Linked DNA regions of Oryctolagus cuniculus. The protein of the gene in region 7 binds, or shares a complex with, the protein of the main gene of each other region. Links are inferred from orthologs where the notes say so. Each region holds a gene or a part of one and is shown on either strand. Other genes may lie near its edges. The genes, in order: LSM4, GPKOW, CRNKL1, TXNL4A, CWC27, USP39 and SNRNP40.

Region 1 (2,677 bases), on a different chromosome or scaffold from region 7:
CGGTCCTGGGGGGTCGAGGCGGAGCTTCACCCGCTGAGCCACGGCGCCGGCCCCTAAGACGCCGCCACCACGGAGCTGTGGGCCGCAGAGCCGGGAGCCCCAAGCCGTGGGGGCTGCACTTACGTCCCTCCAATGCTGTCGCCCCTCCAGACGGGCCTCGGCCGGCCGTGACCGGAGAACGCCCAAGCGGGGACCCAGGCCTCCCCTGCGTCACCCCCCCCCGGCCGTGACCGGAACCCCTGCCCCCCCTGAGGTTGGGGGGCGATCACCAAGGTGACACCTGGTGGGAAAACAGAGAGGGGGCAGCGGGCCGGACAGTGGCTCCAGCCAGGGTGCCCCCTCCCCGACTCTCTATCAAGACGGGAGGGGCCGCAGGACAAGCCGGGCCAGGAGCTCGGGAGACCCCCCCAGCCCCTGTGGAGCCCCCAGGCCGGGTCGGGGCCCCCAGATGTGGTCTCCTGGGGCCCAAGGGCTGCAGGGCGGACGCAAGCCGAGGGGCCTTGAGGCTGGACTGGGCTTTATTTTCAGAACACAGAGAAATGGAAGCAAAGGCGCATGGGCCGGCCCCGTCCACTCCGTCTGGAAGGCGACACTACGGCCCCCGCGGGCCTGTCGCCGTGCGGGAGGGGCCGGCCCTGGGCCGTGCCAGCAGGTGCAGGCCGGGCTATCCACGGAGCTATCCACGGAGCCGGGCCGGCCTCGGGGCGGGGGCTTCACAAAACCAACACCACCACACAGGTGTCCACACTGGGGGGGGGGGCGAGGCGGCCCGGCCGGAAGGAGAGGGTCCCGCAGCGGGGCAGGGCTTCGGTCTCGGGGGGCGCGGCTCACTGCTTGCCCGCCTGCCGGCCCGGCTTCTTCTCTGGCTGGCCTCGGCCAGTGCCTGGGATCCCGCCTCGGCCCCGGCCGCCAAACACACCTGCAGGGACGGACAGAGGCGGCTTGGCCTCAGCTTCCCCAGCTGTGCGGCGGGGGCCGGGACAAGGGCCCAGGGAGGACAGGGGCTCCGCCACTGGCCAGGACCAGGGCTTGAGGGCCTAGGGGAGCACCGCTCCCCCCCCCCCGCCCGCACCTCCCCCGCCCCGCCCAGCCCTGCCCGCACCTCGCCCGGCGCCGCCCAGGCCGCGGCCCTTCTGCTGTTTCTGCTGCTGCAGGCCCCCGCGCCCGCGGCCCTTGGCCACCACCTCCTCCTTGACCATGTCGATGATCTCGTCCGGGATGCGCAGGTACTTGATGGTGCTGCCGCGGATGTAGCACTCGGGCATCCGCCAGAACTTGTCCCCGTCCTGGGCCGGAGGCAGCGCGTCAACGCCCGGCCCGGCGGAGGGTCCCTGAGCTGCGGCCAGGGCCGAGGCTGGGGGGCGCCCCCCCCCCGGGCGCCCCCCCCCCCCCCCCCCGCGCAGGGCCTGTCTGGCCCCTGGGCAGCCAGGAAGCCCCGCCCCCAGTGAGGCTGCTTGGGTCTCTCCCACCCCCCACTCCCCCTGCCCACAGCCCCCCTTCTAGAGCTGTCTCTGGGCCTGAGCAGGGCACCGACGGAGCCACGGCCCAGCGGGGCAGTGACCGGTGCCGTGGGCCGAGAGGGGCACCCCCAGCACGCCCCGCCCCCACCCCACAGCCCTGTGTGCCCCTGTCCCACAGATGCAATCCTGGCACTTCCCGGCCACACCCCCGCCCGGGCCCCTGCACAGGGACAAGGTCCACACAGCTCGGGACCGGCCCCGCCCTGGCCACCAGCCCCGCACGGTGCCTGCAGGCGCTGTTCCCGGCCAGAACCCCCCCTCCGGTCAGCTGCTCCCCGGGCGGCTGGGTGGGCGTCGCCGGCCGAGGCCGCTGAGGGCGGGCTCCCAGTGGGGACCCCAAGGCCAGCCAGACACAAGTAGGGCGGTCCCATGGGGCCCAGCTCCAGCGCCACGCTGGCTCCACAGTGGCCAAGGACAGGCCGGGACGTCACTCCTCCCCGCGGGCGCCGGGGATCTGGAAGCAGGGCCCGGGGGCTGAGCCAACCCTGGGGAGGCGCCGGGTCCCTCCCACCCCACCCCACCCCACCCCGGGGTCTGACCCAGCACCTCCCACCGGGAGGCGGGGCAGCCCAGGCCTGGCGGCCACCCCGGGGTCTGCAGGGGCTCACAGCCCGGGGGGAGGCCCTCAGTGGGTCCTGGGGAGCCGCCCCGCCCCTCCCACATCACCCGGTAGGTCCCGGCGGTGGGGGCACTGCCCTCCTCCTGCTGGCCGGGTGACGCCCACGGGGCGGGGCAGCAGGGGGGCGGGGCGGCGCGGGCCTCACCCTGGACGTGCAGATCACCTCCCGCAGGTTGATGTTCATCCAGTTGTCGCAGCTGACCAGGTGCCCGTTGTACGTCTCCCCGTTCTTCAGCTCCACCAGCTGCCGGGAGTCGGGGCCGCAGGTGTAGACGCCCGGGGGGCCCGGCTTGGCCCTGCGACCCCGCGAGGCCCGTGGACCACCTCCCGCGCGTGCGCACCCCAGCCCAAGTCCCTGCGCCCCCTGCCGCCCACCCCCCACCCACGCGGGGGACTGGAGGGAGCTCCCGGCTGCTGCGGGCGCAGGGCTGCGCACGGGAGGGCGGGAGGGCCCCCGCACACTCACCATGGGGTGGTTCTGCGCCGTCTTCAGCAGCGACAGGGGAAGCTGAAAGGCAAGCGTGCCAGGGACTGTGCG
Region 2 (3,114 bases), on a different chromosome or scaffold from region 7:
TTGGGTAGTTGGGTTCTTGCCTATCAAGTGGGTTGATTTCCTGGCTCCTGGCTTCAGCCCAGCCTAGTTGCAGCTGGGAGCTCTCATACTCTTTCTCTCTCTCTCTCTCTCTCTCTCTCTGTGTGTGTGTGCATGTGCACGCGCGCGTCTGCCTCTCAGATGCACATACTCACACGCATAGAAAGCCAGTGTTTGCAAAATCTGACGCTCCTTCCTCTTCCTGAACCCATTAGGTACCAAAAGAAGCTGATTATGAGGCAGTCTCTGTGGAGGCCTATGGACTGGCCATGCTGCGGGGTATGGGCTGGAAACCTGGTGATGGCATTGGACGCACTTTCAGTCAGTGAGTTTTGGGCTAAGGGTGACGGGGTGGACGGATGGAGCTGTGAACAAGCGCCCCCCCCCGCCCCCTGCCGCCACCACCCCATGGTGACTGCCAACCCAGAACCCTTCAGGCAGGGAGAGAGGATACATTATTCCCCTAATTCAGTAGCCTCTTCCACTCCTGTTTCCAATTCCTCATTTGAAAAGTGGGGGTAACAGGATGGACTTCACAGGCCTCTCGTGAGAGTTTGATGAGATGATACCCATAAAGCACATTGAATAGGCCCCCACCCCAAGTAAGCACAGGCTAAGTATCTGCTTTTATCACACGGACTTACAATCCCTTCTCCACAATTGGAAACTCCAATGAATTTCGAAAAGCAGACAATTTTTCACAAACCATGTGGCAGCCGAACATGATCTGCATTGGCATTGAGCGTTCTTATAGCCTGTTTCTCCTGTCTGGCCTGACCGGGCATATGATTTCTGCTGTGGAAATAGAAGGTTACAAGGAAATGCTTGGTTATGAGGGCCTGCCTCAGATGCCACCGTAGATACTGTATAATATGTAGTGTATGCAGCATGGTGTTAAGTTGAAACAAATGAAGTTCCATTTCTGTAGGTCCAAAACAATCCGAAGTGAGAGATTGGAAAGGGCATTCTTGAACATTCGATGGGGTAGGATTTAGCAGGGGAGAGAGGAAGCCACTGAAGGTGCTTGTATCCCGTCCCCAGTAAATCCATATTCCTTCACGCAGAATAGTGAAGCCCCGTGTCAACTCATTGAGGCCCAAGGGGTTAGGGCTGGGCGCCAACCTGGCTGAGATGAAGGCCTTGACCTCCACCAGTTCCAGCTGCCTTCCAAGAACAAATGTGGACCAAGATCAGGATGACGGGCAGGATACGACAAGGCAGCCCGAAGGGCTGAAGACGGGGACAGCTGTGACGGTCGTTTCTGGCCATTACCGAGGCCGCTACGGGAAGGTAAGGAGCCAGGGTGTCCCTGGAGACCAAGGAAGATGGATTTGAGGGTCGGAGGCAGGAAGCATCGGGTTTGGGGTAAAAGGGCTGGAAGTCCAGGTCTTTTAGGCCTGCCTGGCACACTGCTTCACTAGGTAACACGGCAGGGCCACTTGCTAGGTTTTTCTGAGCTTCAGGTGCCAATGAAAAGGGAGCAGGGCAGGTGTTTGGTGCAGTAATTAAGACGCCACTTGGCATGCCCATATGGAAGTGCCTGGGTTTGAGGCTTGGCTCCATTCCTGATTCCAGCTTCCTGCTGGTGCCCACCCTGGCGAGTGGCAGCTAATGGCTCAGTTACCTGGGGCCCTGCTCCCATGTGGAAGCACCGGATTGAGTTCCCAGCTCTTGGCTTTGACCTGGCCCCCAGCTCCAACTGTTGTGGGCATTTGGAAAGTTAACCAGCAAATGGGATAGCTCTCTGTCTTTCAAATAAATTAAAAAGCTAATTTACAAAAGGGAGTTAGGGGGCTGGCCCTGTGGCATAGTGGGTAAAGCCGCCACCTGCAGTGCCAGCATCTCATATGGCCATTGGTTCGAGGCCTGGATGCTCCACTTCTGATCACGTTCTCTGCTATGACCTGGGAAAGCAGTGGAAAATGGCTCAAGTCCTTGGGCCCCTGTACCCGCGTGGGAGACCTGGAGGAAGCTCCTGGCTCCTGGCTTCGGCTCAGGGCAGCTTTGGCTGTTGTGGCCAAATGGGGAGTGAACCAGCAGATGGAAGACTTCTCTCTCTCTCTCTCTCTTTCTTTCTCTCTCTTCTTGTCCTTCTTTATGTGCAACTCTAACTTTCAAATAAATAAATAAATCTTAAAAAAAAGGGGGGGGGAAGATTCGGGCTGTAGCACTGGGTGTTAAAGCCCTGGCATGCAGCATTGGCATCCCATAAGGGCACCAGTTCCAGTCCTAGCTGCTCCATTTCCCATCTAGCTCCCTGCTAATGTGCCTAGGAAAGCAGCAGAAGGTGCCCCAAGACCTTGGGCCCCTGTACCCACGTGGGGGACCTGATGAAGCTGCTGGCTCCTGGCTTCAGCCTGGCCCAACCCTGGTCATTGCAGCCATTTGGGGAGTGAACCAGTGGGTGGAAAATCTGTCTTCTCCTCTCTCTCTCTCTCTCTTCCAAATAATCTTTTTTTAAAAATGAAAAAAGGAGTGAATAGCAATCATCACGAGTCTCTGAGGATTAAATACATAAAAAATGTCTGTACCCCACCCAAGAACCAGACCCGGTCCCAGCTTTTAGGGGGTCACAAGTCGGTGGGTGAAACAGGGGTCAGGTGTGTTGGAGGTAAGAGATGGACAGCTTGGTCCTAGGAATGTGGGTGGAGTCCACTTAACCTCGCTAACTTCTTCCTCTTGACGTGGTAGGTTGAAGGCCTTGACCCTGACAATGCTCGGGCCATGGTGCGTCTGACAGGGGAGAACTCTGTGGTGACTGTTAGTGAGTACTGCCTGCGCCCTGTCTCCCAGCAGGAGCATGATGAGAACTCCATGGATCTCAGTGAGTGGGCCTCCTGAATCCCCGGAGGGGAGGCAGAGAAGGGAGAAGTGCTCTGGGGCAGGAGGGGCAGGGCCTGTGTCTTGCAATGGGTTTTCCATCTGCAGAGGGGAGGGTAGCCATCTGCCTGGTGGCTGGGATTTCCTGCCAGAGGTCAGGAGGCAAAAAGAGATCTGAGTGGTTTATTTCAGTGGGGGAAGAAAAAAAAAAGTCGATCTAGTATCCCTGGGTTTTTAGCCTTTCTCAGAAGGAAAAGAAACAGGTGGGATTTTTTG
Region 3 (3,500 bases), on a different chromosome or scaffold from region 7:
TCTGGCTCTCCGCAAATGTGCCAGGGAGAGAAGTGGATGATGGCCCAAGTAGCTGGGCCCCCACATCCACTTGGGAGACCCAGATGGAGTTCCAGGCTCCTGGCTTGAGCTTGGCCCAGCCCCAGCCATTACAGTCATTTGTGGAGTGAACCAGTGGATGGAAGCAAATACATTCCCACCCCCACCCCTCTCCCTCTCCCTTTAAATAATTTAAAAAAATTATTTGAGCTAACAACTAAAGAAGAAACAACAAGCCACAAAAATAACACTGCTAACTAGAGCCAAAGGAATATGTTTTACATTGCCACTTTATCTAACAGAACATAACTATTTTTAATCTCACTTCCTTGAAGAAGTCGTTGATTTCCAAAGTAGTACATTTACACATGGCAAAAGGTGTTAAGGGCACTGGTCCTAAAGCTGCTCTGCAGGGTTTTTTGTTTTGTTTTAAAGATTTATTTATTTGAAAGTCAGGGTGACAGAGAGTGAGAGTGAGAGAGAGGGAGGGAGAGGTCTTCCATCCTCTGGTTCACTCCCCAGTTGGCCGCAATTGCCAGAGCTGTGCCGGTCCAAAGCCAGGAGCTTCTTCCAGGTCTCCCACATGGGTGCAGGGACAGAAGGACTTAGGCCATCTTCTACTGCTTTCCCAGGCCATAGCAGAGAGCGGGATCGGAAGTGGAGCAGCTGGGAATCAAACTGGCGCCCATATAGGATGCTGGCACTGCAGGTGGCGGCTTTACCTGCTATGGCACAGTGCTGGCCCCTGCAGTTTTTTTTTGACAGGCAGAGTGGACAGTGAGAGAGAGAGACAGAGAGAAAGGTCTTCCTTTGCCGTTAGTTCACCCTCCAATGGCCACCGCGGCTGGTGTGCTAAGGCTGGCGCATAGCGCCGATCCAAAGCCAGGAGCAAGGTGCTTCTTCTGGTCTCCCGTGCAGGTGCAGGGCCCAAGCACTTCGGCCATCCTCCACTGCACTCCCGGGCCACAACAGAAGTCTGGCCTGGAAGAGGGGCAACCGGGACAGAATCCAGCACCCCAACTGGGACTAGAACCCGGTGTGCCGGCGCCGCAGGCGGAGGATTAGCCTAGTGAGCCGTGGCGCCAGCCATGGACATTCATCTTAGTCATCTCTCTCCCATCTTGACCTTAGGTTAAGTATTTCCATTTGGGTCAAGAAATCAGTGTGTAGGAGAGGGATGCTATTTTCACAACAGTTAAGTGGACAAGAAATGGATAGTTTGCCTACATTAAAGTACATTAAATTCATGTATCTTGATTTAAAATCATGTAAGAACTACCAGTTCTATATACATCTTCACTGTTTTACTTGGGGCTTATTCTAGCCTTAAATGTAAGTGAAGTGTTAGGAATACACACAGGCTGCTTGTCTGGAGTTGTTATTACCTATTAGAAGAACTCAGTGAGTGGTGACCACCAGGAAAAGTCTAAAGCTGCCTCCAAATTTAACATAATAGGAGTTTAAGGAATTCATTATATTTTTGTTTTGTCTGTGACTTATGTTTTTACTTTTTTTTTTTTTTTTTTTGACAGGCAGAGCTAGACAGTGAGAGAGAGAGACAGAGAAAAAGGTCTTCCTTCTGTTGGTAACCCCCCAAATGGCCGCTACGGCCGGCGCACTGCGCTGATCCAAAGCCAGGAGCCAGGAGCTTCCTCCTGGTCTCCCATGCGGGTGCAGGGCCCAAGCACTTGGACCATCCTCCACTGCACTCCTGGGCCATAGCAGAGAGCTGGCCTGGAAGAGGAGCAATCGGGACAGAATCCGGCGCCCCGACCATGACGAGAACCTGGGGTGCTGGCACCGCAGGCAGAGGATTAGCCTAGTGAGCTGCGGCGCCGGCCGTGAGACTTGTGTTTTTAAAGATGGGTTTAGGGCCCAGCGCCGTGGTGCACTAGGTTAATCCTCCACCTGCGGCGCTGGCACCCCATATGGGCGCTGGTTCTAGTCTGAGGATCTGGAACTTCCCATTAACGACTCTGTGTCCCGGCCATGACAAGAGCTGCCCCCAGGGCAGTGCACCACTCAGAGCTCATCCAAAGGATATATCGTTCATAAATGGTGCGGGCCCGCTCCACCTCTTTGTACCTCAGCTCGAAGTTGATGTAGGAGTGCCAGGCTTGCTCCTCGGGCTGCCACTCCATCCAGCGCTCAAACACCTGGCGAGCACCCGCAATGTTCCCCAGCATCTCCTCCATGTACGTGTACTTGTACCTTCAACACAGTGACCCAAGACACCTGTTGTACTCCAAGCGTCTTAGTGCAAACACCATCTTTGACAATTTCTAGTTCTCCCTTTATTTAATGAAAAAACTTAAGGTTTTATCTTTCCTAACGGTTAATGCAAACATTTTCTTAATGAAATATAAATCTGAACAAGATGAACTATTAGGAAAACATTTTTTTCTTAAAAGTTGCTAGTTAAATGTGAAGTTTTTAGGCACAAATGATTGCAATTAGCACTTTAGTTTTGATCACATGTGATTAGCTATTAAACGTTTTGATTATGAGTTAATAAACTATAAGGCATTATAAAGCTCTTACAGGATGTTTAAAGTAAAAGTAGACTGCAACATTAATCTAAACAATAAACTGTGTGAGTAAAACAAACACAACAGCATTTTCCAGTCTGAGAGGCTGCTCTGCTAGATCAGGACTTACCAGAACTGGTTGACTCTGGGCAGAGTCGTGATGGCCCGGTCCCAGATATTACGGGCATGGTTGACCTGGCGATTTTTCATTTCCATTTCTGCATACTTCAGCCAGAGCGTAATATTTCGGTAGTCCACATCTAAAGCACGCTCGTATATGGAGCGAGCCCTGAGGAGGCAAGAAGTGAGGGTCTCAGAAGCAGAACAGACAATGCATGGCAGTTACATCAAGCTACCGGCAATGCCCTGATGTTTTATTGGGTGTTTACTGTAAGTCAGGTTTGGGGCATAAAAAAACGAAAAGATGGTGTTCTCAAATAGCTTACAAAATCTATGGAAAGATAAACACGTGTGTGATTACAATGCAGGTCACAGTCGAGTCCTGCAGAGGAAGCAGACACAGAAATGGCAATGTCTGCTGAATGAGCTAAGTGGAGGTAACTCCAGAACGGAGAACATGAGGACAGCCGAGTTTACCAGGACAAGGCTGGTGGGAAGGTGTGCTCCTCCCAGGCACACAGAACTGGAAAGTAACGTGGCAAGGAGAAATGATGTGCTCAGAGTGTGCTGAGAACTTAGGCCCAGCACAAGCAGGGGCTGTGAGGGTATGGAAAGGCTGGACAAGGGCCAGGTCGTGATTTTCAGCTTGTTCACCACTGGTACTGGGTGGAACATTTTTATTTCAAATTTTCAATAAATAGAATTAGACACAGAGTGAATGCTACACCTTACAACCTCCGCCTGCCATTCACCCCAGACCATACTAACACAGTGCCCCTCAAGCCCCTTTGAAGGAACCGCAGGGCTCCAGGAAACGAAAGTTGGACATTACTA
Region 4 (4,035 bases), on a different chromosome or scaffold from region 7:
CCATTGGAAAAAGGAAGACCTTTCTCTGTCTCTGTCTGTCTACTCTGCCTGTAAAAAAAAAAAGAAGTATCAAAAATCCCAATTTTTGGATAAAAATTTGAAAAAAAAAAAAAAAAAAAAAAAAAAAAAAAAAAAAAAAACAAAGATAAAAATTCAGAAGTGAGCCCAGTTACGATGTCCTAATGAACAGGTTCGATACCACACAGTGTGTGTGCACTAATAACGAGACTCAGTCCTTAACTAACAGGTTAGAAAGAAATCCAGCAAGGTCCCTGAGCCCCTCCAGGAGCCACGGCCACCTGTTCCCAGCCGAGAGCACCGTGCTGGCAGCAGGAGCTGACACGAGGGAGACAGGGCACGCAGACCACACGACAGGTGTGCCCATCCGCCACTGCAGTGGTTCCCTGCTGAATGTGCGCACCTCTGTGCTGCTGCTGACACAGCCCCGGCTCCCCAGCACTCCTCTGCCCTTGCTCTCTTGGAGCCCAGAGGGACAGGCAGAAGGGCAGGTAACTAAGGCATCCCGCTCTGCCCGACCCCGAGGGGTTCCTGAGAGTGTGGCCCAAGGCCACGTCTCAGCAGAACCTGGGCAGCGCCTCTAAGAGCCCACAGCACCAGAACCTGGGCAGCACTGGGAAGGGGCCCTGAACCCCTGCGCCGACGGAGGGCAGGCGAGAAAGGGCTGCTTTGCTGCCGCTCTTCACTTAAGTTATTTATGAAACATCAACATTAAATATTTTACTAACACTTAACAGTGCTGCCAAATAAGTTCCCTAAAACCGTCCTATTTACACAGAACACAAGAGTACACAGTACTGCCCTACAGGCGCACTGCTACGTCAGCAGACGAGCCCAGACCACCTGGGTACTGATTCTAACACCGAGGGCGGGTTAAGCAGCTGTGGGTGACACCAGCATCCCACATGGACCCTGGTTCAAGTCTCCCCGGCTGCTCCACTCGCGATCCAGCTCCCTGCTGATGTGCCTGGGCGGGCAGCAAGCACCACCCAGCCCCTGACCTGCCCAGGCCCTGACTCTAACTCTGCCCTTCACATAAATACTGAAGAACAAACCAAACCCCAGCAAGTGAACAAAGTATCAGGCCCGCGCTCCCTCAGCTGCTCACGGTCAGCCCAGGAAGGTCCCAGCGAGGGCGGCAGCAACCTCAACAACCTGACCCTGAGAAGGTCCCTGGGCACAGGAGGAGGGGCCGGACACAGGGAGGGGGACCCAGACACAGAGAGGCGGGTGGGGCCAGATGCGGGGTTGGAGGGGCGGCCCTGGACACAGACATGGGGCGTGAGGCCTGGACACAGACATGAGGCAGGGGTGGGGGGCCTGGACACAGACACGGGGTGGTGGGGCCTGGACACAGACACGGGGTGGGGGGGCCAGGACACAGACACAGGGTGAGGGGGGGCATGGACACAGACACGGGGTGGGGGGGCTGGACACAGACACGGGGTGGGGGGCATGGACACAGACACGGGGTGGGGGGCCTGGACACAGACACGGGGAAGGGGGCATGGACACAGACACGGGGAGGGGGGCATGGACACAGACATGAGGCAGGGGTGGGGGGCCAGGACACAGACACAGGGTGGGGGGGCCTGGACACAGACATGAGGCAGGGGTGGGGGGCCTGGACACAGACACGGGGTGGGGGGCCAGGACACAGACACAGGGTGGGGGGGCCTGGACACAGACACAGGGTGGGGGGGCCTGGACACAGACATGAGGCAGGGGTGGGGGGCCTGGACACAGACATGAGGCAGGGGTGGGGGGCATGGACACAGCCCCGGAGACGGAAGCGCACGCTCGGGGCAGGGGCCGCGCAGCCGGCCTGAGTCCTCTCCCGGGAGCCGCCGCCTACCTTCTCCGCGATGCTGTACAGCACCTCGTCCATCTTCATACACGTGGGGTCCCAGTCGTGTCCGAAGCGAATGACGACCACGCGGTCCTCCTCCGACAGGATGGCCTGGTCCACCTGCCAGCCGTTGTGCAGGTGCGGGAGCATGTACGACATGGCGGGCACGGGGACGACGCCTGCGGGGCGGCGTCTCGCTCAGCGCCTGGAGGCCCGGCGAGCCCCCCGCCCGGCCCAGGCCGCCCCCGAGCGCCCGGAGAGCCCTTCGCCCGGCCCAGGCCGCCCCCGAGCGCCCGGAGAGCCCTTCGCCCGGCCCAGGCCGCCCCCGAGCGCCCGGCGAGCCCCCCGCCCGGCCCAGGCCGCCCCCGAGCGCCCGGAGAGCCCTTCGCCCGGCCCAGGCCGCCCCCGAGCGCCCGGCGAGCCCCCCGCCCAGGCCAGGCCGCCCCCGAGCACCCGGAGAGCCCTTCGCCCGGCCCAGGCCGCCCCCGAGCGCCCGGCGAGCCCCCCGCCCGGCCCAGGCCGCCCCCGAGCGCCCGGAGAGCCCCCCGCCCGGCCCAGGCCGCCCCCGAGCGCCCGGCGAGCCCCCGCCCGGCCCAGGCCGCCCTCGAGCGCCCGGCGAGCCCCCCGCCCAGGCCAGGCCGCCCCCGAGCGCCCGGCGAGCCCCCCGCCCGGCCCAGGCCGCCCCCGAGCGCCCGGCGAGCCCCCCGCCCGGCCCAGACCGCCCTCGAGTGCCTGGCGAGACCCCCGCCCCGCCCGCCCGCAGCCCGCCGAGCCCACGGAGTCCCCACGCACCTTCCGGCAACACCACAGTCTCCCGAACCACAGCACCTACAGCGCGGGCGCGCGACGCCTACGTGCGCGCTCTCGACGCAGTGCGTGCGGCGTGCGTCAGGACGCGGCGCGCGGCGGCGGCCAATGGGCGGCGGCCCTGGGGGCGCGGCCGTCCCGGGCCCCGCGTGCTCCCCCGGTCGCGTGCTCGTCCGGCTCGGCTCGGACGCGACCGGACGGGCTGGCCCCTGGTGTCCGCCTCCCTGGCCCAGCAGCGCGCGCCGGCCGGTCGCCGTCCTCGGCGCTCGCTCCCGCCACGGACAGCCTGGTCGCCTCCCGCGGGAGCGCGTGGCGTCACCGTGACGTCGCTCCAGGTGACGTGTGAAGAGCGACCGGGGCTCCCTCAGTCGGTCTTCCGGTCTGTGATGGCGCGGGGCGGGGCTGGCGGCCGCGCGGCAGCGGCCCACGCGTGAGCGCCGTGGCCGGCCCTGCCGTGACGTCGCGGAGCCCCGGCGCTGCGGCCGCGCCCTGAGGGGAGAAGTTGCTAATGCAGAACGTTCCGCGAGGGCCGGCGCCCGTCGGGGCTCAGCTCTGGGAGAGCTCGGGCGGGCGGGCGGGCGGGCGGCGTCGGGAGCAGAAACAATTCTGCGTTCTGAGACAAGGCTAGCCCCAAGGGTTAGAGGACGAAGTCGGAATTCTCGGGTGCGAGCGGGGCGGGGGCAGCGCCTGTGCCCCACGGAGCCCCTCCCTACGTCCCAGTCTGTCCTTTGTAAGTTTATTCGTTTGAGAGAGTTGCAGACCGAGAGGCAGGGGAGAGAGCCTCCACCCGCGGTTCACTCCCAGACGGGCCCCTCTGGAGCCAGGAGCTTCCTCCAGGTCTCCCACGCGGGTGCAGGGCCCGCGCACTCGGCCGTCTTCCGCCGCTTTCCCAGGCCATAGCAGGGGGCTGGATCCGGAGTGCAGCAGCCGGGACTCGGACTGGTGCCATTTGGGATGGCAGCCCGCCACACCACAGCACTGGCCCGAGATTGAGTGATTTATCAGAGACAGATCTTCCAACCTCTGGTTCATTCCTTCTCCGGCCTCGCAGCCAGGGCTGCCCCGGGCTGGAGCCGGGAGCCAGGAGCACTGGGGCCACCTGCTGCTGCCTCCCGGGGCACAGTAGCAGGAAGTCTGGATTGGAAGTGCAGCACCTGGGACTCGAACCAGCACTCCATGGGGGTTGCTGGTATCGGAAGTCCTCACCCCTGACTACTCTTCTCGTTCCTAAGAAAGAAGCCAAGCTGGCTTTCCAAAATTCGTAGCTCTCAGGCTCTGTCCGCGGCACTTTGGGGATATAGAAGAGGAAGTAAACACGTTTGGGGGCACGAGGGATGCGTATTCCCGATCTCATTGTCCTC
Region 5 (3,500 bases), on a different chromosome or scaffold from region 7:
CATGGCAACCAGTCCTCTCCTATTAAAACGCAACCGAGAGTGAAATTCATCCTGAGGTACAAAAAATATTTAGAGAATGTTCTCAGTTATAAGATATTTCAAATTCAATTGATTATTTACCTGACCAGTAAGATCTCAAAATACTAACAAAATCTCAAAATACTAACAAAAATGATAAGTTTAATTTAACTGACTTTTAAGTGTAATCAAGTCTAATATTTATACTTTTAATGCACTTAAACTAGAAATCACTAACCTATAAGTATATTCTAGACATACTCAGCCACAGATCAGCATATTTTGTGGAAAGCTGTCTACTAACATGCAGGGGAAGGGTATTCATTTGGGAGTAGATTTCTAAGATTCACTTCCCTATTATTATCCCTCAAAACCATCCAAGCTTTTAAAATCTTTTTTTTCTTCAAGAAAACAATGTTGAGTCATTGCAGAGTCTTCAGGTAATAGTCATCATCTCATTATAAATGTCGTAAAACAATTGCTTTCTTCTCATTTTTTAATTAAAGGAATTTATTCTGATTATGTTAAATGATTTCACTGTGACTTCACTGAAGCCCTAAGCTGAATCTTCTCTGAACTGGCATTGGTCCAATCTGCTAGTTTCCGAAAGGGCAGGAGCAAGCCTTTCTAAGATGGTTATCTTGCATGATAGGGTTACTTAACACATACATAAGCCACTTTGTTTACAGAATATCCAATGGTTCTAGGCCTTTTGGCTAAGATTGAGTACACAGAATTTCCATCCAGACCTGATTTTGCATTATGTATAATGTAGCCATGAATGTAATCACTGCTTGTCATAAATGAAGTTATTTTTCCTTAATAAGTTAATTCTCAAAGAGATCTGAATTCAATGAATCATTACTCTATATACTGTATTTTAAATTACCTAACATAAAAATTTAACAAAATAATTGTAGTATATGAAAATAAAAAAGCAAAAAATTAATCAGAAAGGAATTGTAAAAAAAGCTATTCTGTTACACCAAATACTAGAATAAAGGAATGCTTCCTACTAGACAGAGGCTCTAAAACTATGAGTCATTTTACTTTGGTAAATATAAATAGGCTAACTTGACATCTAAATTTTTTCATAATCATTTCCTATTTCCTAAGGCCATTATCATCTGGAAATTAAAGCAAACAATTCATAAAGTATTTTTCTGAAGACTCACACAGTAACTCAGAGAAGAAAGGAAACTCCAGACATTCTACCCCATTAACAGAAATATGAAGTTTTCAAAAACTTCTAAATTCTAAGAGCTTTTGATGTTCATTCATTCAAAGAACATGATACAGGTACCAGCAGTTAATAATGAACACAAATTTTAGTTTTCACTTGAACACACAGTTCTTTCTATCTTAACTATGACATTACCTCATTGTTCTTCTAAGATTTGTTGGTAGTTAAGAAATCACTGACCTATTCCTAATGTATCTTTTTCTAACACTTTTTATGTTGCTTTTCCTGTTGTGATTTTTCAATTGTGGTGTGCATTTTGTGCCGCGAGATCTATTGTGCATGATTTAGAATATATTCTTCTGTGAGCTGAATTGTGTAACCCCCAAATTCATACACTGAGCTCCTAGCCCACAATGTCACTTATATTTTGGTCCGTGAGGAGGTAATAAAGGTTAAAACAATGTCATAAGGATGGGCCCCTAGTCCAATAATGCTTGCGTCCTTATAAAAATAAGGGATTCCAGACTTCTCTTTCCCTTCTCCACTGTGAGGATGTCAGAGAAGGCAGTCATCTGCAAGCCAGAAAAACAGACCTGACCGCGAACCACTGCTTGATCTTCTCAGCCTCAGAACCATGAGAAACAAACCCTACTGTTGAAGCCATCCAGCCTGGTATTTGGTGATAGCAGGATGAGCAGTCTACTACAGATTCCAGATACTGTTTACATAAAACTTAAAGTAGAATAGCATATGCAGTGTTTAAAAAATGCTTTCATTTACAGAGCTGCAGATATTCAATACAGACAGACATCAGGAAATACTCTATCTTTATTCTGAACCATGTCTTTTTCACTACCTCCTTGAGTTCCCCCTGAATTAATTCTAGTATAAAATCTTACATTAAGACAACTTACAAAGAATGCTTGATGGGAAAAGTGTTGTTCTTATGCTGTGTAATCTTAAATATGTGACAGACATTGATTTTGCATACTAACATTTCTTTTTGGAATTTTTTTTCTTAAGGGACACATCGTTTTTGAGTAAGCATTCCAAGCTCACTTGCCTTGAATGGGGCTCCATAGATAGACTCTCCACCAGTCCCTGTGCCAGTAGGATCTCCTCCTTGAACTATAAAACCAGGTACAACTCTATGAAAAATGGTGTTGTCATAATAAGCTGAAAAAAAAAAACCAAAAATAATTTAGCAATATCTAAAATCAAGCCCATCTACCATTGTCAGAGCTAATATACAACTTGATCCAAGATTGGTTTTCTTCAGCTCCCAAACCAATACTTTATTTTTCCTATTTCTTAAAAAATATCAGGGCTGGCACTGTGCCATAGCAGGTAAAGCTGCCGTCTGCAGTGTCGGTATCCCATATGGGCACCAGTTCAAGTCCCGACTGCTCCACTTCCAATCCAGCTCTCTGCTATGGCCTGGGAAAGCAGTAGAAGACGGCCCAAGTCCTTGGGCCCCTGCACCCATGTGGGAGACCTGGAAGAAGCTCCTGGCTCCTGGCTTGGGATGAGCCCAGCTCCAGCAGCTGTAGCCAACTGGGGAGTGAATGAGCAGATGGAAGACTTCTCTCTCTCTCTGCCTCTCCCTCTCTGTTACTCTGCCTCTCAAATAAATAAATAAATATTTAAAACAACAACAACAACTAGGGACATATCAAGCAAATGAAATCTGTGATATTTTATTGAATCCTGAATTTAAGAAAATAGTTATAAAAGAAATTGTTAGAAATATCAGAGAGGCAGGCATTATGGTGCAGTAGGTTCAGCCACTGTGTGGGGTGTCTGAACCTCTTATGGGAGTGCCAGTTTGAGCCCTGGCTACTTTGTTGCTGATCCAGTTTCCTGCTTTTCTTATTTCCTACTTCTTTTCTTCACTCCGTGGAGAATTAATTCATTAATATGCAAACAACAAACAAACACACAATATATCAAAATTATTCAGATTGTAGGTCTACCACCATCAATGCACTCTCCACAAGAAACTTTTACTAAACAAGGTAAATAATTAACATAATATATATGTGAGTCCAATTAGACTACAAATCTGTTTGCTAAATTAATGAAATTATTTACATTTATATATAAATATACAATTTAGAAGTCATAAACATACAGGATAGGTTATATATGATCTCCTGTAGTATGAGTATCTGGACTCTAGAATCATTAGGAAGTCTTGATAGAGAAGAAAGAAGTTAACTTGGATATGGCAGAAAGCATGGCATCTCAGTGAAGCAAAGAATTTGGTGGGGAGCAAGAACTCGAGTTTGACTGAATACGA
Region 6 (3,500 bases), on a different chromosome or scaffold from region 7:
CTCTGGCCTCCTATATCAATATTCTTTATATATATATTCCTATCATCCACTATGGGGCCCTCGTCAGGGCCTGTGACATGATATCTGGGTGTTCAGCATCCAAAACTGAGCTAAAAAAATTTATTTTTTTTACAATGTTGGCCTGCCTCAAGAATTTCATTACATTATGAAAAAGACTAACATAAGGCCTATTCAGGAAGAAAATTTAGCCTGTGTGTACGACAGATACCCTCCCCCCCTGCCCCCACAAGATAAACAGTTAAGAACAAAAGAATGGAAAGTTGCAAAGTTTTTTAAAGGGAGCTAACAAGAGCTTCTTTGTACAAGCAGCATGACTTACTCTTCTTTTTCTTCTTTGTGCCCCCAAGAGCTGAGTGCAGAGCATTCAGGAACCAAGACAGGAAGTCGACTCCATCGCCTGGAAAAAAGGAAAGGTGGCACACACTGAGGCTGGCAGTCATTCAGGAAACCCACACCACGACTCCGTGACTCCATTCCTGGATTTGCTCCTTCCTCTCTGGCCACATCACCCTGGTCCTGTTTATCCTCCTGTCTGAACACTTACTGCTGGCGCTCTTCAAGGTCAAGCTGTCGCTCTTCCAATCTTTCCTCTCTCACCAGGCTCTCTGAGCCACACTAGCATGTTCAATTTTCATCTCTAACCCAAATTGAGTCTCATTACCCAGGGACGGCCAAAACCAATGACCAACAACTTCTCCAGGGTAAGCTCAGGCTTCTGTGTTCTTTTCTCTAGCTGACAAAGATTCCTGTCTCAAATGGGAGAAATTATTTGCAAATTATGCAACTGATAAAGGATTAATACCAGAATCTAAAAAGAGATCAAGAAATTCCACAACAACAAAACAAACTTACTTAAGAGATGGGCCAGTGACTTAAAGTGACATTTTTCTTTTTCTTTCTTTTTTTTTTTTTTTTTTTTTTTTTAACAGGCAGAGTGAACAGTAAGAGAGAGACAGAGAGAAAGGTCTTCCTTTGCTGTTGGTTCACCCTCCAATGGCTGCCGCGGCTGGCGCGCTGCGGCCGGCGCACCGCGCTGATCCGATGGCAGGAGCCAGGTACTTCTCCTGGTCTCCCATGGGGTGCAGGGCCCAAGTACTTGGGCCATCCTCCACTGCATTCATGGCCACAGCAGAGAGCTGGCCTGGAAGAGGGGCAACCGGGACAGAATCCGGCGCCCCGACCGCGACCAGAACCCGGTGTGCCAGCGCCGCAAGGCAGAGGATTAGCCTAGTGAGCCGCGGCGCCGGCCTAAAGTGACATTTTTCAAAAGTGGGAATCCAAATGGCCAACAGACACATGTTCAGGATCACTAGCCATCAGGGAAACGCGAATCAAACCACAATGAGGTTTCACCTCACCTGGGTTAGAATGGTTTTCATACAAAAACCAACAAGCAACAAATGCGGTAAGGATGTGGGGGAAAGGGTACCTGAATCCACTGTTTGTGGGAAGGCAAACTGGCTAAAGCCACCATGGAAGACAGTTCGGAGACACCTCAGAAATCTGAATATAGCCCTACCATACGACCCAGCCATCCCACTCCTTGGAATTTACCCAAGGGAAATAAAATCGACAAATAAAAGAGCTATCTGCACCTCCATGTTTATTGCAGCTCAATTCACAATAGCTTAGACATGGAATCAACCTAAATGCCTGTCAACAAGACTGGATAAAGAAATTATGGGATATATACTCTATGGGATATATACACTATGTTTGTGTGACAACATAATTATCATGCCCAACAATGCTGTGACAGGAGAAACTGGGTAAGCTTATTCTTTGGCCACCCTGATTTTCCAACCAATGATGTTTTAGCTTTCCAGTGTTGTCGAAAGCTGGGCAACTCCAGCATCCACCCTTAGGCCAGGAGTCATCTACGGAGCACTGTGAATGCAGTGCTGGCCCATCAACAGCTCAGAAAAAATCTCTCCACAAAACTTTCATACCTGATGCAGCCTTAATATGAAAAGCCGGGACTATGGACAGAACTGGTCCAGGTGTTGCGTCATGGCAAGTTAAGCTGCCAACTACAGAGCCAGCACCCCATACGGACGCCAGTTCAAGTCCTAGCTGCTCTACTTCTGATCCAGCTCCCTGCTGATGCATAGGGGAAAGCAGCAGAGGACGGCCCAAGTGCTTAGACCACTGTACTCATGTGCAAGACCCAGAAGCAGCTCCTGGCTTCAGACAGGCCCAACCCTAGCTGCTGCGGCAGTTTGGAGAGTGAACCAGTGTATGGCAGACCTCTCTCTGTCTCTCCCTCTCTCTCTGTAACTCTGCTTTTCAAATAAATAGATAAATCTTAAAAAAAAAAAAAAAAAGGTTAATACCCTAGCCATGCTAGCTGTTGGAATTCAATGGTCCTACACAGCTTGGTTGTCACCTGGTCACAGGGCAAGGTGTTCTCAGAGGAACATTTTACTGCTATCTTGTAAACTCCCAAACACCATCAATAGCCATGCCATAACAAAAAGGGTCTTCAGAAAGTTCACAGATGATGCATATTATGAAAACATCATACAGATTTCAAATATTTTTGCATCCAAATAAATGTATTGCTTAGTTCAATCAGAGAGAAGTGAGGAACCTAACCATGCTGTACATCAGTCACTCATTTGGCTACTATCAAGATTCACTATTAAAAGTGAAAATAGGGGTCAGTGCTGTGGCGTAGCAGGTAAAGCGGCCCCCTGCAGTGCCAACATCGCATATGGGCTCCTGTTCAAGTCCTGGCTGCTCCACTTCTGATCCAGCTCTAGCTATGGCCTGGGAAGGCAGAAAATGGCCCAAGTCCTTGGGCCCCTGTACCAGTGTGGGAGACCCAGAAGAAGCTCCTGGCTTCAGATTGGCTCAGCTCCAGCCGTTGAGGCCATTTAGGGAATGAACCAGCAGATGGAAGACCTTTCTCTCTGTCTCTCCCTCTCTTTGTCTGTAACTTTACCTCTCAAATAAATAAATGAATCTTTAAAAAAAAAAAAAGTGAATAAATTTGTTCATTAAACTAGTTTTGTTGTCAAAGCAACAGGAGTGACCGTTTTTACCTTGTTTGGTGATCTGAAAAGTCTTCTTGCTGCAAAGGACAACAGCCTGAAGCATCTCGTGGGGAGAGACATGTGCCTTGAAATTTCGGGGATTCCAGAGCTTTCTCATCAGCTCCCCAAAACGCTGGACCAATAAGAACATGATATCCCCTGGAGGTCGCTTGATGTTCTTATAATTGTCTTCTTCCAAGAAGTAATTCCGGAGAGGAGGAACATTAGATAGTGCCTGCAAATAGAATATTCCAATTAATCCAAAGCCCTCTGGAGAATCCTATTCAGAACATCCTTCCCACTGAATCTGGTAGGAAGCACAGTTCTATGAAGACTGTGCTGATGTGGGTATCACAAAGGAATTTGTAAAAAGGTATTCAAATCTCCAAGCATTGAACAATTTATTTAATAATATCCTTTCTTTGGGGCCGGCGCTGTGGTGCA
Region 7 (4,202 bases):
TAGGCCATGGAGGAAAAACACCAGGGTAACAGTGACTGAACAGGTTTTATTATTTAGAGAATGGCAGCTTTGCTCTCATGCCTCCAATATGACACTCTCCTCAACTTCCAAGTATCTCTCCCTCATCCTGCTCTTGTTCCAGTCAACTTCTGATTGCTCAGATCTTAAACTCATATTGGCCTTGGGATTTTTATACTTGCAATTGCCTCTGGCATGAATTCATGCTCCTTAGATCTGGCTCCTTTCAAATATTTCCTCTTTCAAAAATCTTTCCATGATAACTCAAATTTAAGTAGCATCCCACCTTCTACCTAAAATTCATGAATTCCACTGCATTCTAGTACAATAATTAGCTTTAAGTGAAGTTATCTTCCCCATGTATTTGCTCGTATATTTGTCTTTCCCCTCAGAGAAATGAAGCTTGATGAGTATAGGGATCCTGCCTATGTGTCTTGACACTGTTTTCTCAGTCTCTGGATCATTTAATGAATGACTAGACTGATCTTCCCAACAATCTGAGGGTACAGATTATTAGGCAAAGTCGTATTTATTTATTTATTTATTCTTACACATTGTGCAACCTACATCAGTGCTCACAGTCCACATACAAGGAAGCTGGGCAATGGTTCGAGGCTGCCATTTACTCTGGCATGGGTACACTATGAGAGGCCCACAGAGAAGGGCCCACCATAAATCCATTACCATGCTCCAAAGTAGTATTTATTTACCTTATTTTATTTGGAAGGCAGAAAGGTATATACACAGAGATGGGGGGGCAAAACTCCCATTCACAGGTTCATTTCCCATATGCCTGTAAGTTGGTAACTCAATCCAGGTCTCCCACATGTGTGGCAGGAGGCTGGATTGAAAACGTTGAGTACAGACACCCCTATGTGGGATGTGGGCATCCCAAGTGTCACAAAGCTGGCCACCTGTGTGTTTTTTAAATTTTTAATTTATTTGAGAAACAGAGCTCATTCTCTTCTGCTGGTTCACTCCCCAAAGGATTGCAACAGTTGGGGCAGGCCAGGCCAAAACCAGGAGCCTGGAACTCAAGTTAGGTCTCCCATGGGGGTTGCAGCGTCCCAACTATTGAGCCATCACTTGGTGCCTCCCAAGATGCGCATGAAGATGGTATTGTAGTGTCAAAATCAAAATGGAGTGAGATGGCTAAAAGCTAACTGCAGATCTCTTGCTTCTGTACATGTTAGCTTTGCCTGCTAACGGCTAAGGGTGTATCTTGTGAAACTATGTGGGCCCAAATTCCCAGGAACTAGGTTGACAGAAATGTGTCCTTCACTGTTATCTTACAACCACATCTTGGATTTGTTACCAGGTTTGTTATTGCTAACTGTTATCTTACAACCATATTCTGGTTTTCTTTTTATTGTTCACTGTATACCAGAGGTTCGGTTGGAAATTGTGAGCCCTAGTGGACAGAATACTATAAAAAGCTGTGTAACCACTGTTGGGGGCCGTACTCTGGTAAGGAGTGTCAGACCCAATAGGTTACCGGTCCCGATTGGTTACCTTGCCTCTCACTTTCAATAAAATTCCTGTGTGACTGTCACTGGCTTTTCTAATATTCTGTTTTAGCTGATGAGTGGATGCAACAGTATCAGGAATGCAACTCGGAGTCAAACCCAATGGAAGCAATGGATCCTAAGCAGCACTTTCATTCCTATGCCAAGTGCCAGCCCCTGGACTTTGGTTTTTACTCTGAATGAATTGGAAAGCCACTGGAAAGTTTTCGGCAGAGGGCAAAGTGATCTGACATTTAGAAGAACAACTCTGGCTGCTGGATTGTTAACAGACTGTCCCTAAGACGGCAGAAACAGGAAGCCCAATGAGGACCACACAACAGTCATGCCAGACCAGGAGACAGGGATGGAGGCCGTCAAAGTGGTAACAATACCGGATATATTTTGCGGCAGATGCCACAAGGATTTGGTTTAAGAGTTGAGAGGCCAATATCACGAGCAAAGCGGGAGAGGTGTGCTCCCTGTCTCTATCTTACAAGAAATGGAGTGAAGGGCATGGATTCCGAGTTCAACATCTAGATAAGAGTTTGTTTTCCCGTCTGCAAAATGGGGTAACAGTTCCTAACCCACAGGCAGTTACAAAGATTAACGGAGATTTCCTATACAAGGCATCGGTACAGGGATCCTTGAATGTTCGCTATCACCCAGCTGTTGTTAGTAACATTACCGCAGAGAAACAAGGGCTAAGTAGCTTGCCCAGTATCCCGATCCGAGTCAGCATCATCTACTTCCCGCCCTCATTCATTCGTCCACCCACTCTACCAACTTCTTCGTGGATGCAGGACGCCCAAGATGGGCCCGGTCTCAGCGGTGGGCCCAAGATTAACCCCAATTCCATCGCTCCCTCCCAGGGCAGACGAGACGAACAAACGGACCTCAAACGAGGAAACGTGTGGGGCACCCGCAGGGCTCCGGGCGCTCTTACAACGTTTAGCTCCCTGAACTCTACGTAGAGCCCCCTGTCCCCCCAGTGCCGGACCGCCCAGTGCAGCGCTCGGAGGGAGCAGGAAGATGAACTGCGGGCCCGACGCCGCGTGCCACCGCACTTACCGCTTGCAGCAAAGCTCCCGGCGTTGCTTGCTGCTGCCCTGTTCCGGGGCCCGATCCCGCCGCTCCCAGCAGCAACTCATGGCGCTGCCGCTTGACTGGGACCAGCGGCAACTCTGGGCCTTTTCGTTTCTGCTGTTCTATCATGGCGGCAGACGCTTTCCTCAGAGCCGCCACTGACCACACCGACAGCTCTAGGCGCCGTGCGATTGGTTCCGATTTTGTCCTTCCTCCAGGACTTCCTGTTTGAATGAACCAATCGGCTTCCAGCATTCCCCGCTGCAACGCCCTCTGAATAGTCTCTTGTTATTGGTCATAGCCTTCTGACGCCACGGGAGCGTGATCTCAGGATTGGTGGGTGGAGCTGGCGTCCCGCCTAGGCGCGCTGTGTCTTGTGGGTGGGAACTGGCTGACTGGGTTTGGCGTTTCGCGCGATGCCGCGGCTGGGAGACCTGAAGCTGACGCTAAGTGAGTATGAGGTAGCTGAGGGGTAGCTGATGGCTCTAAACTGGAGCCGACGCCACAGCCTTGCGGCCTGAGCCTGCCTTTCAGCCGAAGGTGTTGCTAGCAAAGGGCGGGGGGCGGGCCTCGAATTCTCAGCTTTGGTAAATATTCCCTTTACCGCGCAGAAGTGGAGCTTTGGAGTCCCTGACGGCAGGTCGCAGACGGCGCCGGATGCCTGGGACCCTGCACCGCTGCCTTGATCGGCAGGCGCCTGCTGCGGCCAGCCCTGGGTCAGGCGTTCTTAGGGGGGTAAGGCTCGTATCCCCGCCGCCGCCAGTGCCTGTGTGGCCGAGGAGGCTGACGTGTGTGTGTGCCTCTGATTCTGCAGTCTTTTACTAGGGCCTGCTCCATGCCCCGCGAGAGGCAGTGGCGACGGACATGTCCGGCTCCTTCTCCAGATCGTGGTCTTGTTGAAGAAATTTGACATATAATACCTGTGAACCTGGGCCTCGCGGTTGTCCGGCTTAGCATTCTCTCTGCCTAGCGTTGAACCTAACGCAGTCCCCGATCTCAGGGCTTCTCAGTGTGGTGGGGATAACAGATACCACACAACGACCTCCCTGATAAACGGAAGTGCTAGGGGAGAAGTCTGATGCTGCGAGTGCCTGAAATGAAAAGGCTTTTCTGAGCAAAACGTGCCTGTGCTGCTGTCTACAGGCAAGGAGTGTAGCTGGGTAGAGAGAGGAAGGCAGAGCACTTTATTTGGAGCAACAAGTGCAGAGGTTCTGTGTCGTTTGGAAGGAAAGTGACAAGGGCACAAAGAGCCAGTGTGCTGCTACGGAGGAAGTGAAGGGGAGTACGGTACAGGGTGAAGCTGGAGGCTGTAGAGGCTGTGCAGGAATCTGTCCTTGTTCCTTTCAGACGGGGCTGGGAAATCGCTGAGGATCCTTTCTGGGGAGCAGGGCCTGGCGGAGGAGTGGCAGAGGTGGCTTGATCCCTCAGGCTTCGTGGTGTGAGCAGATTGGGATGGGAGGGACCCTAGTGGATGCAGAAAGGTCACTTACGAGGATGTACAGAGATGCCGGTCAGAGATGTCGTCAAGGAGAACTGAGGGAGCCGGGCATCTGCGGAGAATTGGGCAGATTAATCTAGAGCTCGAGGTAGGGCTTG

What was found.
Region 1: SNRNP40 (region 7) and LSM4 share a complex: the UniProt entries of both Homo sapiens proteins name them as parts of the U4/U6-U5 tri-snRNP complex. The link is inferred for Oryctolagus cuniculus from reciprocal best matches to the Homo sapiens genes SNRNP40 and LSM4.
Region 2: SNRNP40 (region 7) and GPKOW share a complex: the UniProt entries of both Homo sapiens proteins name them as parts of the minor spliceosome. The link is inferred for Oryctolagus cuniculus from reciprocal best matches to the Homo sapiens genes SNRNP40 and GPKOW.
Region 3: SNRNP40 (region 7) and CRNKL1 share a complex: the UniProt entries of both Homo sapiens proteins name them as parts of the minor spliceosome. The link is inferred for Oryctolagus cuniculus from reciprocal best matches to the Homo sapiens genes SNRNP40 and CRNKL1.
Region 4: SNRNP40 (region 7) and TXNL4A share a complex: the UniProt entries of both Homo sapiens proteins name them as parts of the U4/U6-U5 tri-snRNP complex. The link is inferred for Oryctolagus cuniculus from reciprocal best matches to the Homo sapiens genes SNRNP40 and TXNL4A.
Region 5: SNRNP40 (region 7) and CWC27 share a complex: the UniProt entries of both Homo sapiens proteins name them as parts of the minor spliceosome. The link is inferred for Oryctolagus cuniculus from reciprocal best matches to the Homo sapiens genes SNRNP40 and CWC27.
Region 6: SNRNP40 (region 7) and USP39 share a complex: the UniProt entries of both Homo sapiens proteins name them as parts of the U4/U6-U5 tri-snRNP complex. The link is inferred for Oryctolagus cuniculus from reciprocal best matches to the Homo sapiens genes SNRNP40 and USP39.

What each region holds. Positions count from the first base shown.
Region 1 is NC_091447.1:65,592,636-65,595,312, forward strand, and holds the end of LSM4 (U6 snRNA-associated Sm-like protein LSm4), read right to left. Parts: intron 2,648-2,677; coding exon 2,606-2,647; intron 2,384-2,605; coding exon 2,285-2,383; intron 1,287-2,284; coding exon 1,103-1,286; intron 920-1,102; coding exon 828-919; 3' UTR 501-827; downstream 1-500. UniProt on the Homo sapiens protein: Plays a role in pre-mRNA splicing as component of the U4/U6-U5 tri-snRNP complex that is involved in spliceosome assembly, and as component of the precatalytic spliceosome (spliceosome B complex).
Region 2 is NC_091453.1:34,249,268-34,252,381, reverse strand, and holds part of GPKOW (G-patch domain and KOW motifs-containing protein), read left to right. Parts: intron 1-233; coding exon 234-343; intron 344-1,082; coding exon 1,083-1,308; intron 1,309-2,709; coding exon 2,710-2,842; intron 2,843-3,114. UniProt on the Homo sapiens protein: RNA-binding protein involved in pre-mRNA splicing. As a component of the minor spliceosome, involved in the splicing of U12-type introns in pre-mRNAs.
Region 3 is NC_091442.1:44,666,546-44,670,045, forward strand, and holds part of CRNKL1 (crooked neck-like protein 1), read right to left. Parts: intron 2,836-3,500; coding exon 2,677-2,835; intron 2,230-2,676; coding exon 2,063-2,229; intron 1-2,062. UniProt on the Homo sapiens protein: Involved in pre-mRNA splicing process. As a component of the minor spliceosome, involved in the splicing of U12-type introns in pre-mRNAs.
Region 4 is NC_091441.1:283,671-287,705, reverse strand, and holds the start of TXNL4A (thioredoxin-like protein 4A), read right to left. Parts: upstream 2,801-4,035; 5' UTR 2,660-2,800; intron 2,047-2,659; 5' UTR 2,027-2,046; coding exon 1,874-2,026; intron 1-1,873. UniProt on the Homo sapiens protein: Plays a role in pre-mRNA splicing as component of the U5 snRNP and U4/U6-U5 tri-snRNP complexes that are involved in spliceosome assembly, and as component of the precatalytic spliceosome (spliceosome B complex).
Region 5 is NC_091445.1:85,773,957-85,777,456, reverse strand, and holds part of CWC27 (spliceosome-associated protein CWC27 homolog), read right to left. Parts: intron 2,378-3,500; coding exon 2,265-2,377; intron 52-2,264; coding exon 1-51. UniProt on the Homo sapiens protein: As part of the spliceosome, plays a role in pre-mRNA splicing. Probable inactive PPIase with no peptidyl-prolyl cis-trans isomerase activity. As a component of the minor spliceosome, involved in the splicing of U12-type introns in pre-mRNAs.
Region 6 is NC_091433.1:117,025,007-117,028,506, forward strand, and holds part of USP39 (ubiquitin carboxyl-terminal hydrolase 39), read right to left. Parts: intron 3,292-3,500; coding exon 3,066-3,291; intron 419-3,065; coding exon 341-418; intron 1-340.
Region 7 is NC_091438.1:141,074,675-141,078,876, reverse strand, and holds the start of SNRNP40 (U5 small nuclear ribonucleoprotein 40 kDa protein), read right to left. Parts: upstream 2,801-4,202; 5' UTR 2,736-2,800; coding exon 2,592-2,735; intron 708-2,591; exon of another isoform or gene 571-707; intron 1-570. UniProt on the Homo sapiens protein: Required for pre-mRNA splicing as component of the activated spliceosome. Component of the U5 small nuclear ribonucleoprotein (snRNP) complex and the U4/U6-U5 tri-snRNP complex, building blocks of the spliceosome.